Linked DNA regions of Astyanax mexicanus. The protein of the gene in region 1 interacts with the protein of each later gene in a pairwise test. Links are inferred from orthologs where the notes say so. Each region holds a gene or a part of one and is shown in the gene's direction. Other genes may lie near its edges.

What was found.
Region 2: the proteins of cdc5l (region 1) and dixdc1b interact in a two-hybrid assay, tested with the Homo sapiens proteins (2 studies listed by BioGRID and IntAct). The link is inferred for Astyanax mexicanus from reciprocal best matches to the Homo sapiens genes CDC5L and DIXDC1.
Region 3: the proteins of cdc5l (region 1) and crnkl1 interact in a two-hybrid assay, tested with the Homo sapiens proteins (2 studies listed by IntAct). The link is inferred for Astyanax mexicanus from reciprocal best matches to the Homo sapiens genes CDC5L and CRNKL1.

What each region holds. Positions count from the first base shown.
Region 1 is NC_064421.1:16,939,469-16,946,438, forward strand, and holds the start of cdc5l (cell division cycle 5-like protein), read left to right. Parts: upstream 1-3,955; 5' UTR 3,956-4,124; coding exon 4,125-4,169; intron 4,170-5,808; coding exon 5,809-5,912; intron 5,913-6,970.
Region 2 is NC_064424.1:9,367,925-9,375,935, forward strand, and holds the start of dixdc1b (dixin), read left to right. Parts: upstream 1-5,003; 5' UTR 5,004-5,193; coding exon 5,194-5,253; intron 5,254-8,011. UniProt on the Homo sapiens protein: Positive effector of the Wnt signaling pathway; activates WNT3A signaling via DVL2. Regulates JNK activation by AXIN1 and DVL2.
Region 3 is NC_064408.1:84,184,912-84,192,650, forward strand, and holds the start of crnkl1 (crooked neck-like protein 1), read left to right. Parts: upstream 1-4,731; 5' UTR 4,732-4,864; coding exon 4,865-4,912; intron 4,913-6,387; coding exon 6,388-6,540; intron 6,541-6,645; coding exon 6,646-6,737; intron 6,738-6,839; coding exon 6,840-6,998; intron 6,999-7,122; coding exon 7,123-7,289; intron 7,290-7,739. UniProt on the Homo sapiens protein: Involved in pre-mRNA splicing process. As a component of the minor spliceosome, involved in the splicing of U12-type introns in pre-mRNAs.

The sequences.
Region 1 (6,970 bases):
AGCCAATGGGCTCCTGTTGTCCCCTCGCCCAGCTGCCAGCTGTGATGGTGACCCGGACACTGCCTAAAGCTGAAGCTCCTCTGCAGGTCTGTCCTCCGCCAATTCGCCCTGGCATCTGTGTTCTGGCCCTGGCAGGTGGGCTTTCACAATGCAGATACACCCTCCCTTAGCCATTCTCACTGGTTCACTATAGAACTATCTAGAGATTTAGTAAGATCCTCTGATGCACATTTGAGTTTACTCGTCGGTGAAAAGTTTGTTTAAAGCTGTTTATAAGAGAGAAGATATATGTATTGATGAGTGTGTTAGGGCGTATGTGTGTGGGTGTGTGGGTGTGTGTGTGTACTTAACGATTTTCAAAGCTCTCCTTGAGGAACTCCAGTGTTTACAGTTACCGTCCAGTACCTAGTTTATTTAATCAATCCTTCATTAAAGTAAATCAGAAGAGTTGCTGGTGGGACTGAAACAATCAATACAGTCACTAAAGTTCACACAGAAGTCAGAAACCAAACCTGAGTTTTGGGTTCTTCTAAAGCACACATCAATCTTGTAGACCCTGTTTACACCAGGTCAAATTACTTCCCAGCTAACAGAGAACTTTCTAAGAACCTTTAACAACATTTTAAAATGGTTCAAGGAAGGATAACCTGTAATGTTAAAGAAATAATGTTTCAGGAATGTTCTAAAAACATGTGACATTATAGTGGTTTGCATCATAATGTTATTAGAATGTTATTAGAACCCTTGTCAAGTGACTTCCCAGCTAACAGTAAACTTTCTAAGAACATTTTAAACAACATTTTAAAAAGTTTTCAGGAAGGTTAGCCTGTAATGTTACAGAAACAAAGTTCCAAGAAAGTTCTGAAAACATGTGACATGATAACGGTTTGGGGTTGTATCTGCACTGTATCTTGATCAGATCATTTTTAACCACATGCATTTCCACTTGATAGTCAAATGAATTTTGATTGAATCACATCATATTCTAATTGTTGTTGCCTTTTTGTGGTATGGCCTTATCCAGATATAATCTTGATTACCTTAGTGTCTAAGAACTGAGAATAGTCCACCGACTGCCCTGTAGGCAGGGTGTTTAAAAACTCCAGCAGCACTGCTGTGTATGATTCATTCATAGTATTAAAACACACACTACTCAAACACACCTGCTCTGTGGTTGTCTCTCCTTTGGGATCCTAACCATTGAAAAACAGGGTGAAAAGAGGATCATAAAGTATGTAATGAAACAAATACAAAACTAAAATCTGTAAATAAAGACCTATAAAGTGTAGAAACAAACAGGTAATCATATTTGAATGTTGTGCTTGACAGGTGTATGAAGTATTTTATAAGAAACACTGCTGATATAAACTGTTTTCATACGTTTTTAACTTGGAAACAGTACTCTCCCATGTTTTGTGCAATGTGAAGAACACTAAACAAGATCCACTTTGAGTGTCTTAGTTCAACTAGCAGCTGCTGGATGGTGAACACAGAGGAATACAGAGGCAGTGCACTGCTGGATAAGCTGCCTGAAGCCATCATGTTTTCATACAGCTCTTGGCATTTTCTCAAGCAGCTTTTCCCACAGAAGCAAAGAGGTTTTTCATATGCTGACTCGCTAATAACGTTTAAAACACATTCATATATAGGGGAGTTATTTGTATTTTCATCAGAAATGTTGAATTTAATCGTGTGAACATCTGTGTTCACATTGATAAAGGTTTCAATGTGCATTTTTTGTGCATCTATGAAAGGTGTGTTGAAACTTGTGTTTAGGAGACTGTAAATCAGTTACAGTGGAATATGTTAAAGATGAACAGTGAGAAAATAATAAACAGATCAAAACTGCTGATAATCCCCCATAAGTGGCCATAAGATAAGATAAGATAAGATAAGATAAGATAATCCTTTATTAATCCCACAATGGGGAAATTTACCATGTTACAGCAGTGCAGAGTAAAGGACAGAGAAACAGGTCAGGAAAAGGTAAATACAAATAATGATAAATCTATATATACAAAAAAACTATTGCAGGAAAATATATAAAGATAGTTAAAAAAATTATATATAGTAAAAGAAAAAATATATATACATCTAGTGCATAGAGATATGATTATGGTAGGGTGGACCAGTATTATTGCACAAGAGTAACAGTGAATAAATATCAAATAAATAATAGATAAAAACAAAAGTGAGAAAAAAATATTGCACATTAAATAAATTGCACAAATGGTGATCACAGTACTCGTAGTGAGATGGATATTGCACACGGTAAGCATTACAGCTACACTGAGTAGTATGTAGGTTGTATGAAGTCCTGGGAGCGTGGTGTGTTGTATAGTCTGATGGCGTGTGGAAGGAAGGACCTGCAGTATCTCTCCTTCACACAGCGTGGGTGCAGCAGCCGGGTACTGAAGGAGCTGCTCAGTGCTGTCAGAGAGTGGTGCATGGGATGGGACAGGTTCTTCAGCATGTTGTTAAGCTTAGTCCTCATCCTCCTGTCTCCCACCACCTCCACTGGGTCCAGAGGACACCCCAGGACAGAGCTGGACTTCCTGATGATTCTGTCCAGTCTCTTCTTGTCAGCGGTGGAGATGCTGCTGCCCCAGCAGACCACTCCATAAAAGATGGCTGATGCCACCACGGCATCAAAGAAGGCCTCTGACCTTTCCTGTAGAGAGCAGCCGTGTTGTCAGTCCAGCTTGTTGTTAAGGTGGACACCTAGGTACTTGTAGGACCTCACTATCTCAATATCCGAGCCCTGGATGTTCACAGGCACCGGAGGAGAGTGTTTGGTCCTGCAGAAGTCCACCACCAGCTCTTTGGTTTTTAAATGCCTGATTACAAAAGAAAGCTTTTGCACTTGCATTGCATTCAACAAACCAGTTACTCTAATCAGACTTGCAGTAAGTGTGTTAAAGCAGGGACAGGGTGTCTCCAGGACAGGGACTGATAAACACTGAGTTAGCTCAGCAGCATCAGCAGCTCAAATAGCCAGTCAGAACTGTGGGAGACTCCATTCACTAGGTGGCAGTACAGAGCTCCAGCACGCCATTCACAAACTTACAAACTTATAGGAACTAGACAGAAACAGGGTTGCCATGTTGAGAAAAAAACTTATTGTAAACGTACATTTGTTGTTGAAATCATGCATATTTAATCCTATTTTAATATGTTTAATATTAATGTAATTAGATTTTTGCTATATTCGGGGCTTTAAATTTTGCTGTATTTTTAAATTGTACCAAAAATGTGCATTATGCCAGGAAAAGTGTACATATAGTGCTGTATGATATAACATTAAATGTTGTTTTGCCAAGTTAAAACTTCAGCTACTAAATGTACCCCCTAATACTTAGACAATCACTTTCAGGCTTATCTGAAGTTACACTGAAATACATATTATTTATATTTGTGTAACAATTTCTCTTTTATTTGTGTGTAATTAAATATACCTATTATATATATTATGTAAAATAGTTTATTATATATAGTTTATTATTTATATATATATAAATAGTATATTATATATATATATATATGAGTGAGTTAGCGAGTAAGTTTTGCTCTCATAAAAAAAACCTTCACATTTAATTTGAATTTGAATTGAGGGATATGGAAAAGCCTCTGCACTTAGCCTTATTTAAAGTTATATTATTTATGTAACAATATGTCATTTAATTGAGTGCAAATATATTATTTTTTATGTATTAATAATTTAAAGTAATTAAAAGTGTCACGTTTAACTACACTTTAAATTCCCTCTACTTGTTTAAAAAATATTAGTATAATATTATGAATATAATATGTATTGTATTCTATATATTGTTTAGTTAGTGAGTTAGTGTGAGGTAAGTCTGTCTTTTTTAAATCAAAAACTTCACATTGAATACCCCCTTGGATGGATTATAGGGATTTTAACGTCAATAGCACGAATCTGGCAACCCAGTGAACAGAAGCCATTTGCTGTGGGCCAGCGCTGCGTTAGCGGGGCCGTGTTTTAGCTGCTGCTCTGCTTTCTGAGACGCACCGCAGTTACCCCGGGTCTCCTGGAGCTCCTGTATCGCTGTTAATACAGCGCTGTTTATAGTTCAGGGTGCGGGTGTGAAGAATAAGCTGCCAAGATGCCGCGAATTATGATTAAAGGAGGCGTTTGGAGGAACACTGAGGTGAGCGCTGGGTTAGCAGTGTGGTGCTGACAGGCTAAGCTAACGGAGCTCGGCTATGCTAGGCTAGCAGCCCTGCTTTAGCTGTGAAGTGTGAAGTTAGCGTGTTTAAGTTACTACAGCGTTAGCTGTGTCGTACATATAACTATATTTTATTGGTTTAAACAGTATTAGTCAGTGTTTCTGACACACAAATACACGGGCAACATGTATTCGTTAGCTAGCTAGCTAGTTTACAGATACAGGTAGCATGCTAGCTAGCTAGGTTAGTTAGCTGGACTTGTTAAGTAGCTAACGCTAGCTGTGTGGCAGCAGTGTTTGTGTGGGTGCAGGTTGAGCACCTCTGGACTGAGTTAAAACCTAACGTTATATTAACTGTTGATCTATCTGTTAACATTACATTTTTGCCCTCAGTCCTGAAACTGCACAGCTTGTTTTTTCTGCTCTAACTCGCCTTGTTTAAAGCCAAAATTAGTCCTCGTGTGCAGATAAACACCAAACTACAATACACTGCACTGATCTGGCGTTAAGTAACGTTAGACTAATCAGCAAACTAGTTAGTGTGATCGAGGCCTTTGTAGGTCTTAGTAGCAACACATTCTGACCACCAACTGATTTTTTGTGTATTTATGATAAGCCAGTGCTACTGAAGTGTTTAAATACCACCGGGTTCATCATCTCAGTGTCTTAGGGCTGCATCGATTAGTCGACATAATCGGCAATGTCGATTATTTAAAATCGTCGACTACACATTTCATTGTCGACTAACTTAATTGTTAATTTGCAACAGTACCGCATTACACAAAGTGCAGAGGACATAAGTGCAATGGAAGATGAGTAAATGGTTCACTCAAATAGTTTACACTCAACTTAGTCTCTAAAAGTGACCAAAATCAAATCTTATGTTCAACTTTTTCTATCAATTTTAGAGGTGGAGGACATGGCAGAAATAATCGTTGACTAATCGACTAGTCTGATGATTAAATCATTAGTTGCAGCCCTAGTCTGAGATTTTGAGAAAAGTCCACATACAGTGCTTAAAGACTTCAGCAGCACTGCTGTGACTGATCTGCTCATACCAACACAACACACTAATACCTGACCATTGAAGAGGAAACTGTTTAAAAGGAGGATAATAATAATAATAATGTGTGCAGAGAAACAGAAAGACTATAGTCTCTAAATACAAAACTCCAAAGTGATAAATGAGTGTGGAATCAAACAGGTGATGCTTGCAAAACGTAAATGAAATTTAAACAGTACTCTCCCATTTTTTTACAACTTGAGGGAAAGTAAATAATATCCAATTTTTGAGTGCCTTAGTCTATCTAGCAACTGCTGAATAGTGAACACAGAGGAAATCATAGGGAGCTTCCTGAAGCCATCATGTTCTGATTTATTTGCGAAGCACTGTTGTAAGTCACTCTGGATAAGGGCGTCTGCTAAATGCCTTTAATGTAAATGTAGTTAGTAAGTTATTTAGGTAAGCATCAAGTTTGTCAAACTAGCTGACAAATCTAAACACAATACAGCCACTCCTTAAAAAGATTTATTAGTACTAATTCCAGAAAATGTATCCAGTCATTGTAAAATATTTGTGAACTTAACAATCTGTTCTTTTTCCCCTGTTATCTTTCTGTAGGATGAGATCCTTAAAGCAGCTGTAATGAAATATGGCAAAAATCAATGGTCCCGGATTGCCTCTTTGCTGCATAGAAAGTCAGCTAAACAGTGTAAAGCTAGATGGTAAATCTGTTCTTGTTCTCTCTCAGTGCTGAGTGTTCTGTTTGTTGTTCTGCTGAAGGCTTTTTTTAAATATACTGATTAGTACTAACATTTTAAATTACTTGTGGGTGCTCTTAATGATGCCAAAACCAGTTCTGAACTATTGATGTCTGAGTTCAACACTTCTGAATGTGTCCAGTGACGGTCTGGTCTGGTAGGGCTGGGTATCACCACAGATTTCCAGAATCAAATCGCTTCAATTTAGTTTATTTGATTTAATCCAGTTCAGTATCAATTTGTTTAGGGATATTACCGTTACAATAACAGGTTTTGTTTATATATAAAAAGAGATTTTCAGTGAGCTAGTGTAGCAAATGTAAAAGGAACACTCAACCTTAAAAATATTAGTTAGTACTTGAGCTTCTTAGTACTTGATGTGCAGTAAAAAGACTGTTTGATCACATAAGATCAAAGAATAAGAGTGTTAAAGATTTACACAAAAACACATGGGGGAAATAAAAAGATTTTAAAAGACTGAATTCGAGTTTATGTGAATCAATATCGAGTCATTTAACTGAAGATTGCTTTGACTCGAAAAATATATATTTTTTTTAACCCTCCCCTAATATCTGACATCATAATGTTAAGAGCTTCTGTAAGATGTGAATTGTTTGTCTAACATGTCACACAGATGCTCAGTCTGATTGAGATGTGGGGTAATTAGAGTTCAAGTCAACACCTTGAACATTGAGATGTTCCTTGTACTGTTCTTGGACTGGATTTGCTGGATTTAGCTACTGTTTCCCAGCAGATTACCGCTTGCCTTCTCCAGTGTGCATCATATTGCCATCTTTTTCTCATGTGACTGATGTAAATGTGACTGATGTATATGTGCCTGTCTATCAGGCACAGGATGCAAAAGAAAATGTGATTTATTAGACCAGGCCATTCTTCCATTACTCCAAAGTCAGGTTGCCTTTGACAGTCAACACCATGTTTGTGTGTTCAGACATGTTCCTGCCATGGCCAGCTATAGCTTGTCAACCATTTGTTCTGCCGTAACTCTTGCATCAGACCAG
Region 2 (8,011 bases), on another chromosome or scaffold:
GTCAGAATATTAAGTTATTTTACTACTTAATACAATTTTAGCTTTCTATTTTTTTTTTATATTAATACAATCTGTTATGAAACAATTTTAAATCACTGCATTGTGAATTGAAAGGCATTTGGCCTTCTGTATGTAAAAAACAACACAAACAAAATTCAGTTTTTTTTTTCATTACAACCATATAATGTTTTTTTTATATATAATTATTATAATTATGTTCTGCATTGTAGATTATTAATTGACTAATAAACTATGAAGAAAACCCTTATTTTAATATACTCTAGATTATTTAAAGTAGCTCTTCTAATCTAATATTTTAGATTAGCTTTGCACATCTTGGCACTTTCTCAGTCAGCTTTATGAGGTAGCGTCACCTGGACTGGCTCTCACCCATGCCCATGCTTTTCTACATTACAGGGGCGGGGCCAAAGGGGCAATCGCCTCTGCTGAAATCTGATTGGCCCCCTGAAGTGCCCCTGTCTTGCCAATCATTTTGTCCAGGCACAGTTAAAATCCACGTAAAATTGTTAATGATATTTTTGGGCAAAACGTTTTAAACAAAAATAAAAATCTGCAATCTACAAGACAAAAGCAAACGAGAGACTCCAGAAGCAAAAGACTTTAGCAGTGAAATCCATAGACATCTCCAAAAACACAAAAATAAGTGCAGGCGCAAGGAATAATAAAGTATTAATTAAAGTATCTCCCTCTCTCTCTCTCTCTCTCTCTCTCTCTCTATATATATATATATATATATATATATATATATATATATATATATATATATATATATATATATTTTTTTTTTTTTTTTTTTTTCTTTTTTTACTTTGAATTTGCAACACACTTTTTTCCTTATTATTCTTAAATTTTTTATTCCTGATTTATTTTTTGTGTAACTCCATATATTTAATTATAAATGACATTCAAGTGTTGGAACATGGTGAGACATGAAATTATAATAATGCTCCTCTATTAATAGTATGGCTCATGATGGCCCTTTTACTCCTATCATAGATATAGAATATATATATATATATATATATATATATATATATATATATATATATATATATATATTATTCTGTGTATATAAACTTAAAATTAACTCCATTGGTTTTAAATAGGAGCACATCCCCCTCAAAACCCCCAACCCCCCCTCCCCGGTCCGTTTCTGGTAGTCATGGATACGGAAACAGACGGGCTGAGAGAGAAAGGGAGGATCTGAGATTCACTTTTAGGGAAAATGCACTTTGCGGCTCCTTGAACTGGAATTTTCTGTTATATTAGACTGGCTGTCTTCCATAGAGTGAATTAACCCCCGGTAAGTTAACTAAACTACTGATAACGGTGATTAACTATCTTTTAAAGCGGCTCAACTAGATAAATTACTATTTTAACGTTTAGTTGTTAGCTAGCAAAGCTGGTTAAGCTAACCCGCTAACCTTATTTAAGATTTACGCTAGTTAGCGTTAGGGTTATTAGCTATCCTAGCTAACTAGCTGTCTATAATAACTCAAAAGTCCCGTCGTTTTGTTTTGTTAGCCTTAGTTAGCTAAAGTGGATGCAGCTGGCATAATTTAACGATTTAACGGCTTTAGTTTCAGAGCCTAGTTGCACCTGTTAAACCTCTTAAATGTCCTAAACTAGTTCATTTATTTTTAAGCGAATTGGTTTGCTAGATAGGTCTACTAACTAAGCTAGTTTAACTGGGTCAGTTTAACGACAGTTCAATTTCCTGAGTGATTGTTTGGTGTAAAACGTCTTCATTATTTACTTTTGTCCATTTGTTTAAGTAAAAAAAAAACATGGGGTTTCATCAGTATTTTAAATGTATAAAAGGGCTGGGCAATACTGTAAAAAAGTCAATATTCTTTAAAAATCAAAAAATATTTTCCCCTCTGGACTTTAGGTTCTGAGAAGCAGAATTGTAAAGTAAATGTCAAAATGAAATCATGAGATTTTACACCTAGTCTTGTGTTTTCGATTTTAGCCTCAAAGAAATATACAAAGAAAAATGGTCAGAAATATAAACCAATAAACATTACACTGTTGTTTTGTGGGAGTAAATGTATCTACTGTCCATTAAAGGCATTCTACTAAATTTAGGAGAATTGCTGTGAGGATCTGATTGTATTCAGCAACAAGAGTGTTAAAATTGTGACAACAGGTTGTTTTGGTGATCACTCAGCTCATCCCAGAACTATTTGTGTAGATGAGCACCGTCAATCCAAAGAACACAGTTTCATTGCTTCACTGCCCCACAGCTTAATTCTGGAGTCTTTATATGACTCTAACCACAGGCATTATGCATGGTACCTATAGGTTTGTGTTATTTTACCTGCTCCATAGAGTCCTAGTCTTTTGGCAGTACTTCTTCACAGGGACTAGACAAGCTGTGTGTGTGCATTTACACATCTGTATCAGTAAAGGGTGCAACTGTCTGGATGCAAGTGTTTTCTGAATGCATCCGTTAAAAAGTTATGTAAAACGTTTGTACATATAGTGTCCATTATCATGAACCTGCAGTGTTTATTTTGTCTCTAGTTTTAACTGTGATTACTCCCTTACACACCACATACCATCAGCTAGTCAATAAGTAGGTTATCTATCCCTGTCAGAATAGGTAAAACATATTTAGAGACATGAAATATTCCTTCAGTTTTACTTATTTAACAAAAGCTATAGAATGGTGGGATGCCATAAGAGAACTGACCTTTTAGAAGTGACCTTTTATTATTTAACTGATATGTGTGCTCTCTATTTTGAAGGCTGGTGATATGCCTCGCTCCTCGGCTGTAGAGAGATCTGTAAGTAACTAACCTTACCTTCTCTTCATCAATTAAAGGACTCTTTGAGACTAACTCATCTGCATATAATCTCAGTGTGTTTAATTTACAGGGACAATCGTTGCAATCCTAATGACTGTATCTTATGTTACAGATAAACACTTAATTTTAGATACGTTACAGTTACCAGTATATGCTGACATCGCTGATTTGTTAGTGCTCCTGATTTAGGTCAGAAATGCATAATACAGTGTAGTCGGGCTACACGCTGAATCAGGAAGCTCTAAACCTGACAGGAAGGATGTGGTCTGGTGGAGCCATACACAAAGCAGCCATGCACAGAACTGCATGCCCTTTACTAATCTTTACTGTTGTGTACACAGAGGGTACGTTTAAGTGGTCATGATTTTTTTTTTACCTTTCACACTGAGGACCTCCTGCTTCCTGCTCTACTGTAACAAGGGAACTCCATAAATGTTATTGAAATTGAAATTGTAACAAAAATGTTACGAGTTTATCTACACTCTCAGCAATTATTAAAGGTTATTGTTATGAAGCTCTAGGTAGCTCTAGTTCTAGGTATGTCACATGAAATAGAGACTATTTTACACTACATGCAGAAATCAAGGGCAGGAATTAGGCCTAATACTGATCTGATTTTGATCTTAAGCACTTTGCACAAACTTCCCAAATGTGAATTCTACATTCGTTGCATAAAATTATGCAGATCAGAAGTTTTAGACAATGTTCTAATGAAAATATGATCTCTGTGATTTTGACTGTGGCATGGTTTAAATAAGAATATAGTTACTGATCTCCTTAAACTTTCTACAGTTTATTGTGCAATACAGAAAAACATTGAGTAAGTGGTATTTTTGCAGATGTAATTATCTTGATGAAAGAGATCAGCAGTGGATAAACAGAGTGGTTCAAACTGACAGAAAGGCTGTGGTAACACAGATAACCCTAAGGTGGCTGGGCAACAGCAACAGCAGACCAGCATCAAGTTCTCCTTAGGTCAGCCAGTAACAGAAAGCTTGGAGTTCAATGGACACAGGTTTACCAAAACACAAAAAACACAGCAGGGTTGACTGAATCCTGATTTCTGCTGTAATCCACAGAAAAAACAGCCTGTACTGTCTCTTTATTAAGTAAATAGCTATCTCATTATTCTGAGATGCTAAATCATCACTTTAAGATACTAGGCCATTATTTTGAGATGGTATCTTATTATTTTGAGATACTTAGTCATTATTCTGAGATGTAGTGTAGTGAGTACATCCCTTACATAAAAATATTTTTTATACATTTTCATGGGACATTTTTGAGGATATAACACTTAAATACACTGTAAAATAGTCAGTGTACAGCTTTTTTAACAGTTTGCATTTGCTAAATAGAATTTTTTTCAAAAACAAAAAACATCTTCAAATAATGACTTAACGTCTTAAAATAACAATTTAGCGACTCAAAATAACAATATAGCGACTTCGTACCTCAAAATAATGACTTAGCATCTTAAAATACTGACTTAGCATTTCAAAAAAATAAGAGAGCATCTCAAAATAACAACTTAATATTTCAAAATAATAAGATACCATTTTAAATAACGACTTAGCATCTTAAAATAGCAATTTGGCATCTTAAGATAATGAGATAGCATCTCAATATTACGACTTATTATCTAAAACAAATTTGAGAGTATTTAAAAATAACAACTTAGTATCTCAAAATAATAAAAGAGCATCTCATAAGAACAACTTAGCATCTCAAAATGCTAAGATAGCATCTCACAATAACGACGATAGCATCTCCAAAAAAATTTGAAAGTATCTCAAAATAACAACTTAGCATCTCAAAATAGTGACTTAATATCTAAAAAATAACGACTTAGTATTTCAACATAATGGGATACCATCTCAAAATAGTGACTTAGCATCTCAAAATAGCGACTTAAAATCTCAAAATAATTAGAGCATCTTAAACTTACTTAATATATCAAAATAACTCCAAGTTATTACGTGCTAAATTAATACTATATAGATTATTAGTAGTAGTATTTTATGAACAGGCGGGAGTTTAGTGCTGTACAGCGTTGTTATTGTAGAGTTGCAGCACTAGCGTTAATCCTGCTAGTGTAAAGCGGGGCCGTAGCCTAGCGACCGCGGAGTGGCCTCGTGTGGAGCATGCGCAGTACAGAAGCTCTAACTCAGTCCACCGCGTATCCTGTTTCTGTAGGGGAGCTAACGGTGGCTGCAGTCGCACATATGGCCATCGCCCGGCCTCGGGGCTTTACTGTGTAGCTTCTTTGTTTGCGGAGTTTACGGGGATGAGGGTGTAGAGCGGACCCGCTGAATCAGGAGGATAACGTGTTCGCTGTTCGCCTCCATGAGAAGGCAGGAGAATGATCGCATCCTTATCCAGAGGAAATGTGCTGGACGTGCTGCAGGAGGGCTTCAATGAGGTACTGGACTGTGGAGGCTAGCCAAAACTTTGTTGTGCAGCAATATCTGTTGCATTGTAGCTCTTGTTGTGGTATAGCGTTCAGCAGGAGGGCTGCTTAAAATGAAGTAACTTGATGCGGATTACTTTTGCAAAACGTAACTAACTAAGTAAACAATTGACTTGATATTATGAGGAGAGAATGGAGGAGATAATTAGCTAATAGGTGTGTCCTAATGAATTGGCACTGAGACGCTGTGGATGACTGACTTGATGGTTTCGACAGCTGCCACTGTTGTGTTAAAAGTCTGCAGTGCTCACTGAAACAGGCCTTACTGATTATGCAGTAGACTGACTCTGACTGGCATGTCAAAATGCAGTGTTAATTATCTCACTAAGCTGATGTAAAACGCTTTAAATAACTTTAAATAACAGCAGTAACTACTGTACTGACCAGTCATTTGTCTATTGACTAGAAGTGGTAGCTTAATTAATTTGTTAGCTAACCTCCCTTTATAAGGACTAGCTTTTGATTATGCTGCATCAAGATGAAGGTAAGCCATCATCAGGGTATGTCAGAATAGGCTTGTGAATGTTTACTGGTGCTGAATAGAGTTATGAATTATGAAATTTGGTCTCACATAGGTCTGTCGTGATAACATTTCATTTTTGGATGATATTTTCCCCAAAATAATTGCATTAAATATTATTGTCATTTTAAGACATTGCAAATATGGATAAATGCAGTTTAAGGGTTTAACTGTTGAATGTATATTTGTGTATATATATATATATACAATTTGTATATGTATATATATATTACTGTGATACTAATCTAGAACAAATCACTGGATCAATATAATATAAATATACATGTTTATACGTAAGAAAGTACCAGTCAGAATGAAATATTTGGACAAAGGTTGAATGTGATTGTATTTTTTTTTACTTTTAAACATTTTATGCCACTGATATTATGATAATATAGTAGCCTACTAATAAAGTTACACTATTTTAAAGATTAATGCATGTTTAATTTTTAGACACTGGAATTGAAATATAAAACATACTTTAATATCCTAAATAAATATAAACAAATACTATTTTGATAAGTTGACACATAGGTTCCTCGCATTCTTACAAGTTATAGTTTGTACAAAAGTTCTTTTCAGGCTTAGTAAACAGGATAGGCAACATTATATGTCAGCAAAAATCATAGAGGTCATGTCCATATACTGTATACCAGACTCTAAAATGTTGATGATATAATAATGGAGCCTTGTCTCACATTGTGATTTTATGCATTATACACACATATGTGTGAACCAATTACAAGCACTTTTTCATCCATGTCAGCACCTGTTGGACTGTGTTACTTGCTGCAGCTGTCTCTGCATTTAACCATACAGCAGAGTCCAGTGATGTCCTCTGTGTCGAGCATAATTTGTTATGTTCCCCAGGTGCTATGATGTTTATCTCCTGCAGTAGGATGGAATATCCCAGACAGCACTGCACAGTACAGTGATGTGCTCAGTCGGCCCGGTCACTGTGGGAACGATCCGCTCGAGCATTATTGCGCCTGGTTGCACTGAGCAAGCTCGGCATTCCAGCCGTACAGCATGGTCAGCAGCTAACACGACCTCCCTGCTGAATGCTCCCTGTGTTAGGCATCCTTTCTTGGAAAGGGAGCCATTCTGGACCACTTTGAGCTTTTAGTGAGGCAGATATGCTCCAGACAGGGCTTCCATTGTCCAAACCTGCCAGCTGTATGCCAAATATGTACACAACATTTAGTCTGGTTTGATTTGCTGAGGGGCCACTAAAGTATCTTTTCTTTTTTGTTTACACAAAAAAAAAAACAAAGGAGAAAAAGGTTGTGCTGTGCCAGCGCTTTTTCAGATCCATGTGGTTTCTCGTTTACCACAGTGTTACTTACAGAGTCGGTCCCTGCTGAGAGTCCCTCTCAAGTGATGTAATTTCATCCTAAAGGTTTTAAGGGATCATTTTAATAGGAAGTCAGGAAGTGAATGTTATCACTGGACATTTTCAACACAGAGCCACAGATTTTCAGTCAGAACCATTTTAAAGTTTTCAAAATCCCCCAGCCTCCTACAGAGATTTCTATTATTTTTATTTGTCTGTACATGACTGATTTGTCATTTTAATCGGTAATCAGTTCCGATTTTTGGTTGAGATTGAATTCAGCAATTTCCACAGCTTAGGTTCATAGATGTAAGTAATTGTATTTATCTGTAATGTAAATGAACTTGTCCTTGAAACAACACAGATGCATACATTGATTAGTTTAAGCACACTGGATTTCGGGTAGCCAGACTGCTGGTGTTGTGTCAAATTCTGTATCCCCACCAAAATCTGACTTCCCTTAAGTGATGTTCTTAATAATAAGTGGACTTGGATTCTGGAAGGGACTTAATTCTGCATGGCACAGGTCCCAAACTAATGACCTGTACAAACAACAGGATCTGGCCATTCAGAGAGCCCACAAATTGGATATGTATTTGATCTAGGACAACATATGAAGGTGATTCCAATATGATTTGAATATATTGGAATTGACATGTCTACACAGATCTAAAGAAATCACATTTAGGGACGGAAAAATGTATTTGAATCACTTTAGTGTGGTAAAATGATTGTATAATAAATCCTATACAACTAAATTGAGTGTTATTGCTAGCAAACATGTTTTGATTAGTGTTTAAAAAGAAGTCAAATCGTACTGCAACCATTTTATTGTTATTGAAAATGAAAAGCACCCT
Region 3 (7,739 bases), on another chromosome or scaffold:
ACTTTAAATATAATGTGCCGCGTCGTCCGGCTTACTGTACGTTCACACCGAACGCGATAAAATCGCTCTGTGTCGCCTGTGCAACAGGCGATGAGTCGCTTGTGGACGTGTCTCACTCAGAACGAGCTGTCGCTGGTGGGCGTTTTCCTAATACGGCACGTACAGAAACAAGGGTTCAGCCAATCTACACAATTCCTAAACCATAAACAGTCGTACAGACGTTTCACAAACAATAAATCTTTATATATTTTATAACTATTATTAAGTACAATTATTTAACATAATTATTTCATATTACAATAAATGGGTTTACTTAAATATAATAAATTATTTTCCTTAATGTAGTAAATCATTCTCTTACAATATATTATATAATATAAATATATTTGTCCATAATTTAAAATATTGTTAACTTAATGTAATAAATAATTCCTTGGATGTAATTAATATGTTTACTTAAATATATTAAATAATCCTCTTGATTTAATAAACAGTCTTTCTCTTAATTTAATAAATAATTCCCTCAGTTTTAATAAATCTTTCTGTAAAATGTAATAAATAATTCTCTCAGTTTTAACTAAATCGTTCCAAATTCCATACCTCAGTTTGAATAAATCGTTACGTTAAATGTATTAAATACTTTCTTCAGTTGTAATAAATCGTTATGTTAACTTTAATAAATAATTCCCTTTGTTTCAATAAAAGGTTCTGTTAATTTAAAAAAAATATTCTTTAGTTGTCATAAATCTGTTAATTTAATAAATAATTTCCTCAGTTTTAATATATAGTTTTCTAAAAAAAGGTAATTCTGTAAGGATAGTACTATAGTGGGGTAGCTGCTGGTGTAGTGGAGTATTTTACCTCAGATCAGCTCAGTTCAGTTCTGTTCTCTCCGTTTTGCTGGCGGAATAAATCTTCAGTAGGAACCGAAAATCAGAGCAGCGATTTCAGGCCGAAATTCCTCTTGTTGAGAAACGCCTGCTCAGCTGCTCACGGAGCGGATGGCGCAAGGACAGCGGCGCCGACTCGCGGAACGGACGGCGCGATGATGGCGGCGCAAGCCTCCGGGATGGCGGGCTTCACGGCTCAACCCCGCCTTACCCTCTCCGACGGCAGCGCTGACTGAACAGCCTTCGAAGCTCAGCTTGAGATCGTGGCGGGCGGTGCGGGCTGGACGGACGCCGAGACGGCAGCCAACCTCTGCCTGGCGCTGCGGGGCGACGTGCTGAGGGTACTGATCGAGCTCCCCGCCGAGTGCCGCTGCGAGCTGCCCGAACTGACGCGGGCGCTGAGAACACGTTTCAGCCGCCAACCGTCAGAGGCGGCCGCCAAAATGCTAGTGGCGGACAGACGCCGACAGCAGGGAGAGACACTGGGCGTGCTGGCATCGGAGATGGCCCTGCTAACCCGCCAAACTTACCCAACGTTTCCGCGAGCGGCCCAGAGGAGGCTCGCGTTGGATCACTTTCTGCGCGCCCTCGAGCCGAGCGAGCTGCGCAAACACGTGAGGCTGGCCGACCCGCAGACCCTGGAGTCCGCGGTGGAGGTGGCGGAGCGGTCCGAACTCATCCTCTCAAGCCATCCTGGACCGTGGGGGGCGTCGCCGGTTGCCCGTGATTCGCAGAGGTGGGGTCGGAGCCAGTCTGATGCCCAACTGGAGTGCTGGCGCTGCGGGGGGCGTGGCCACACGCCCAGCCCATCAGGCTGAGGCCGCACCGTCTGGCGTTAGCAAAGCGCGTAGCGGCGGAGCAGTTAGTCCGCGAGATGGCGAGTACGGGCATTATTGAGCCTTCGAGCAGCCCGTGGTCGTCCCCGGTGGTCCTTGCGAAAAAGAAGGATGGAAATTGGCGCTTTTGCGTGGATTATCGGCGACTTAACGCTGTCACGAAGCTTGACTCCTACCCGCTCCCCAGGATCGACGATACGCTGGACCAGCTGTCTGGCTCAGCCTGGTTCAGCTCGTTAGACCTGAGGAGTGGATATTGGCAGGTGCCCCTCGCGGCGGGGGATAGGGAGAAAACCGCTTTCTCGCTCGGCTCAGCCCTATGGCATTTCACGGTGCTTCCATTCGGATTGTGTAACTCGCCGGCTACTTTTGAGCGTCTTATGGAGCGTGTTTTATGTGGGGTTCCGCGGTCGTGCTGCGTCGTTTATTTGGATGATGTCTTGGCGCACGGAACCGACTTTGTCCGACGGCGTGCTGTGCCATACCTGGGAGGATCCGGCGAACGGGCGGCGCGTTTTTCAGGTGGTGGTACCACGGGCGCTTAGGGGATCGGTCCTACGGGGAGTTCATGGGTCACCTGGGGCTGGGCACTTTGGTGTCACCAAGACTCTGAAGCGCCTGAGGCAACGCTTCTATTGGCCTGGGTGTAGAACCGACGTGGAACTCTTCGTGCACTGCTGTGACGTGTGCGCTGCCAAGAAGGGCCCCTCGAGGGCGCCCCGCGCCCCACTTCACCCTTACCAGTGCGGCAGCCCGATGGAGCGGGTGGCCGTGGACGTGCTGGGCCCCTTTCCGGTGACGGACTCTGGAAATCGCTTTGTTCTGGTGGTGATGGACTATTTCACGTAGTGGTCAGAGGCCTACGCGGTGCCGGACCAAGGGGCGGTCACTACTGCGGATATCCTGGTGCGGGAGTTCTTTTGCAGATTCGGGGTTCCGGAAGAACTGCACAGCGACCAGGGGAGAAATTTCGAGTCGGAGGTCATGGCGGAGGTCTGCCGCATCCTGGGAATCCATAAGACCAGGACGACGCCCCTTCATCTGCAGAGTGACGGACTGGTGGAACGTTTTAACCGCACGCTGGCGGCGCAGTTGGCCATGGTGTCGGACAAGAACCAGCGTGACTAGGACAGGCACCTGCCGGTAGTGCTGCTGGCCTGTCGCTCCGCTGTGCAGGAGATGACGGGATTCACGCCGGCTCTGCTTATGTTCGGGCGCGAACTGAGGACGCCGGTCTCCCTGGCTTTTGGGGCGCCTCCTGACGGGGGCGGGTACGCTTCGGACACGCCCACTTTTGTCTCGGACCTTATGTCTTCGCTGGAATTAGCAAACCGTCTAGCGCGCTCCAACCAGTCTGCTGCCGGACAGAAGCAGAAGCGTGTGTACGACACGCGCTGCTTTGGGGACCCGTTGGCGGTGGGGGCGAGGGTTTGGCTATATAACCCTCAGCGGAAGAAGGGACTGTGCCCGAAGCTCCAGTCGGCCTGGGTGGGTCCATGCTTGGTGCTGTCCAGGCTGGGGGAGTTGGTGTATAAGATCCGGTGGGGCAGACGCACTATGATTGTGCACCGTGATAGGCTGGCCCCCTATAGGCCGAGACTGTCGGACACTGTGGATGGTGGTGCGGAACCTGCCGGCCTTGCACTCGTGCCTGACCTGAACTCTGGCTCTTCGGAGCCGCTGGCAGGCGGTGCCGTGCCCGGCCCCTCCAGGCCGCCGCGGGCACGGAGGCCGCCCGCCCGCCTTAATGACTTTGTTTGCGACTGATTGTAAAAAAATAAAAATAAAAAATAAAAAAATGTTCTGTTGTACGCGGGGTTTGTGTTGGGTTGGTGGGGTCGCCGGGACGGCTGACCCTTGGGAGGGGGGCTATGTGGCGGCTCTGGGTTGTGTGTGTGGCTGCCTGCAGGCATGTTCTGTTCTCCTGTGTGTGAGGATGACAGGGGTGGGGCATCTCCCTTGGGAGGGGTTATGCAGAGAGGGTGGGCACCACTCTGGATCTGCCATCTGGGAGACACACAGCTGTGTTGGTGGCCTTTGGGCTGTTTGAGCTCTGTGGGTATGGTTTTAGCTCTCCTAGTCTTGTTAAAGACTGTAAGTGAGTGGCAAGCCAGTTCAATAAAGGAGCTGTTGAGCATTCAGCATGAGTCTCACGGGTCTTCCTTCCTCTTCCACGCCACAATACAAAGGTAAAAATAAACAAATAAATGAAGAAATGTGAGATTAAATAAATACACATATAAATAAATGTGGAAGTAAATAATTAAATAAATAAATAAATGCAGAAACAGCCCCAAATAAATGTTCATGCATGGGAATATGAAAATAGATCCCTGATATAATTTAAAGTGTGTACTTTTTATGACAAAACGTATTTAGTAATTTATCTACACAAAAAATTATGCGTGCATTTATTTTATCCTTTCTCCCTCAGCTCTGTTTGTTTATATACAGCGTTCATTCGGACATTGCAGTGTTTTTGTGCGGTGTTCTGTCGAATTGTGCTACGTGTCGAAATGTGCTTCTTAACACCAGTGCGCATGCGCGGAAATTTTATGTGAGCACCAAATTTATGTGAGCAACAAAACCTCTGATTAACCATTAAATGGATCCTGATATAACTATTGATTTAGGCGTTTCAAATCCTACCGAGAGTATTTACAATTCTTACGTTTAAATATACACTGGGGTAGCACTGTTTGAGAGGGTAGCACAACTCGACCTAAAAGCGAAATGTCCTGCACATTTGGTTGTACTATATTCTCCTATAGTTCTCTGAGCTAAAAAATGTCGTTTTGTCAGGAAAAATAAATAGTAAAAAGATAATTCAACAGAAAGAAAGTCACTCACCCAAAAGAGCAAAGAAATGTACACAATCTGAGTAAATTAATCCAAACTAACCAGTTCAAAACCACTTTAGCGCTGGGCGTCCTGTTGTCATGGCAACCATGCGTCATGACGTATGCACGTTTCCGTCTTACGTTGGACGTCCGTTTTGTAGACGAACGTAATGGCGGAAGCCCTGGCCATGGTGGAAGAGTGTTAGCCAGTTAGCTGAAGCTCTCTGTGTTTATATATTTACAGCCTGGTCTTCTCTCAGAGTTCTTGTAGTTTTGTGGTGTCAGGTATTCTGCAGATATGGCGTCCACCGCTGCTGGGAAACAGAGAATACCCAAAGTGGCCAAGGTGAGTTTTAGTGTCTGTTAGTAGTAAACCTGCTGGTTAGCTAAATAAGCTAGGATAAGCTAACGTTGCTAACGGACGTGTACCAATTGGAGGGTCTGCGCACTGCACACTCGCACACTAACTAGAAAACAAAAGTGGGAAAGGACCAGTTGTAAGCTGGTAGTTAACGTTAGCTGGCTATTTCACCGGAGCTAAATATGCTAAACACTCTCGTACACACATACCGTTAAGTAGCTTGGGAACAACGACGTGAGCTGAACTGAAATAAGCTAGATTAAGTCAGTTGTTTAACGTACTAGCCGCTGAAGTGCAGCGAAACATTCTTCTTCACTTCTACACACTTGATAAGTATCCTACTTAGAACTCAAATAGGCGAATTGGAGCACAGCCCTAAGTTTGCCGTTGAGTGTGGTCTGTAGTTAGCTAAGCTAGCTAGCTAATCAAATTGTCACAATAACACAATAACTTTAAGCTCTTATTTGAGCCATTATCATAAGTTTATCATTAGTATGTATTCATTGTCCAGCAAATCTATCTTTCACTGGCTGCAGAATGTAGCAGCTAGTTAGGTTTTGGAGTATGTTTTCCCCAGACTCGAAACTAGCTTGCTTCTGTATAAATGAAGATAGGAATTGAACCTCCAGTAATAGGAGCCCCACCATGTGTTGATATCTACCTGGAACAAATAAGTATTAAACTTTTAACACTAGAGTATAAAACTATAGAAAAAAACATATACTGCAAGTAGAGCTTCACAATATATCGACATTTTAGTGTATCGTGAATAAGTGTTCGTATCGTATGGAAAATCTGAGTTTCTGCATGCGTAGATTAAATAATACATAATAATATAAATACATTTTTTATTTTATAGGTAATTTCAGATAAGGCATACATAGATAAATATTTTTGGCATGACAAACTGCAAGGTACAACACTGTACCGCTGGTGGAATCTAACTGTATAATAGTGTGTAGTTAAAAATAGTAGTTAATGAATTAAGTTACACACATACAGCGCTTTTTCAGACACCAACGAAACACTTCATGTTTTGAACTGGAAACTCCATCCAGATAGGGCCTTAATTCCAAAACCCCAGTGCTGGGAGATGAACATGGTAACCACTAAGCCAAAGTGCAGATGAAATAATAGTGATGGCATATCTGTATGGACACCATTCAAAGTGAGAAAAAATGTTTTTGATAAGTAATTGTAATTGTGGTTGTGTAGCTTATCTACTCTAAAATATAATGCAGAGTGTTTTATCCTGTTCAGTTTTTGAGTATGGCATTTTACCTGACTATATAAAGTAGTGTGTTTTAAATTTAAACTCATAAAAAAATATATATATAGTACAATATTCAATTTTGTCGTTTTTAATAGATAAATAATTAATAAATGGGATATTATGTGTTAAGTTTTAGCAGTATGTCATAACATTGGTGGCTTAATTAACCATTTTTTTGCTCCCACAGGTGAAAAATAAAGCCCCAGCAGAGGTGCAGATAACTGCTGAGCAGCTTCTGAGAGAAGCCAAGGAGAGAGAACTCGAGCTTCTTCCTCCACCACCCAAACAGAAGATCACTGATGAAGAAGAGTTAAATGACTACAAGTTACGAAAACGCAAGGTAAGAGAACGTGCTTCATGTTAAAATCTAACAATCTGTTTTAACAAAGTCATTGATTTTACCTTCCTGTTTAAACCATCACCAATATTCTTATCACCTCAAAAGGGATTTGAAGACCATATCAGAAAGAACAGGACTGTCATAAGCAACTGGATAAAGTACGCACAATGGGAGGAGAGTCTGAAAGAAATCCAGAGGTATTATCATTAATCATTCTGTTAGACTCATATTTAAATGCATGTTTTTTATGTTCAAGAACATGAAAATAAACCTTTTGTTTCTGTCATTCATGTTTAAAGAGCTCGCTCTATTTACGAGCGAGCGCTGGATGTAGATCACCGCAATGTCACACTGTGGCTGAAGTATGCCGAAATGGAGATGAAGAGTCGCCAGGTCAACCATGCTCGCAACATCTGGGACCGAGCCATAACCATCCTGCCAAGAGTCAACCAGTTCTGGTAATAACACTTCTGTTGTCCAATTTTTTGACAGAGAAACATTTGCTACAGGAAGACTGAAAACATTTATTCTAAACTGGCTTCAATTTACATGTAGTGAGCTTTGGTGTGAATGAATTTACAGGTACAAATACAGCTACATGGAGGAGATGCTGGGGAACGTAGCCGGCTGCAGGCAGGTGTTTGAACGCTGGATGGAGTGGGAGCCAGAAGAACAGGCCTGGCACTCGTACATCAACTTCGAGCTGCGCTACAAGGAGGTGGACAAAGCCCGCACCATCTACGAGAGATATATCCTTTTATATATTTTAGCTTTTAGATATTTTATTGTAGCATGGTGTGCAATAGTTGCCTGATCTTTAATGAGTTTTGCAGTTTGCTGAGTTATGTGATTGCATTGATCACCCAATGTTGGCTATAGTAAAATTACAGAATAAGTTATGGTATTTTTGTTTTTCAAATTGTTTTGGTCATTATTTATCATTAATTAAAAAAAAGTAAAGAATGATGTGTAATGAAGAACAGGATAAAATTCACTTTATTTTTTTTTTTAATTTGCAGTAAGGTTTAGAGGTTTATTTTTCAAACCTTTATTTTTTATTTATTTATTTTTTAAATTTGAAATTAAATGAAATGAAATCATCTGTGTTACACTATGTACCATTTGGCTACAGCTACATTCTTGTTATTATGTTCTTTTACTCTGTTTTTCACTAGTATTCCGTTTAATTTAACTTGTTC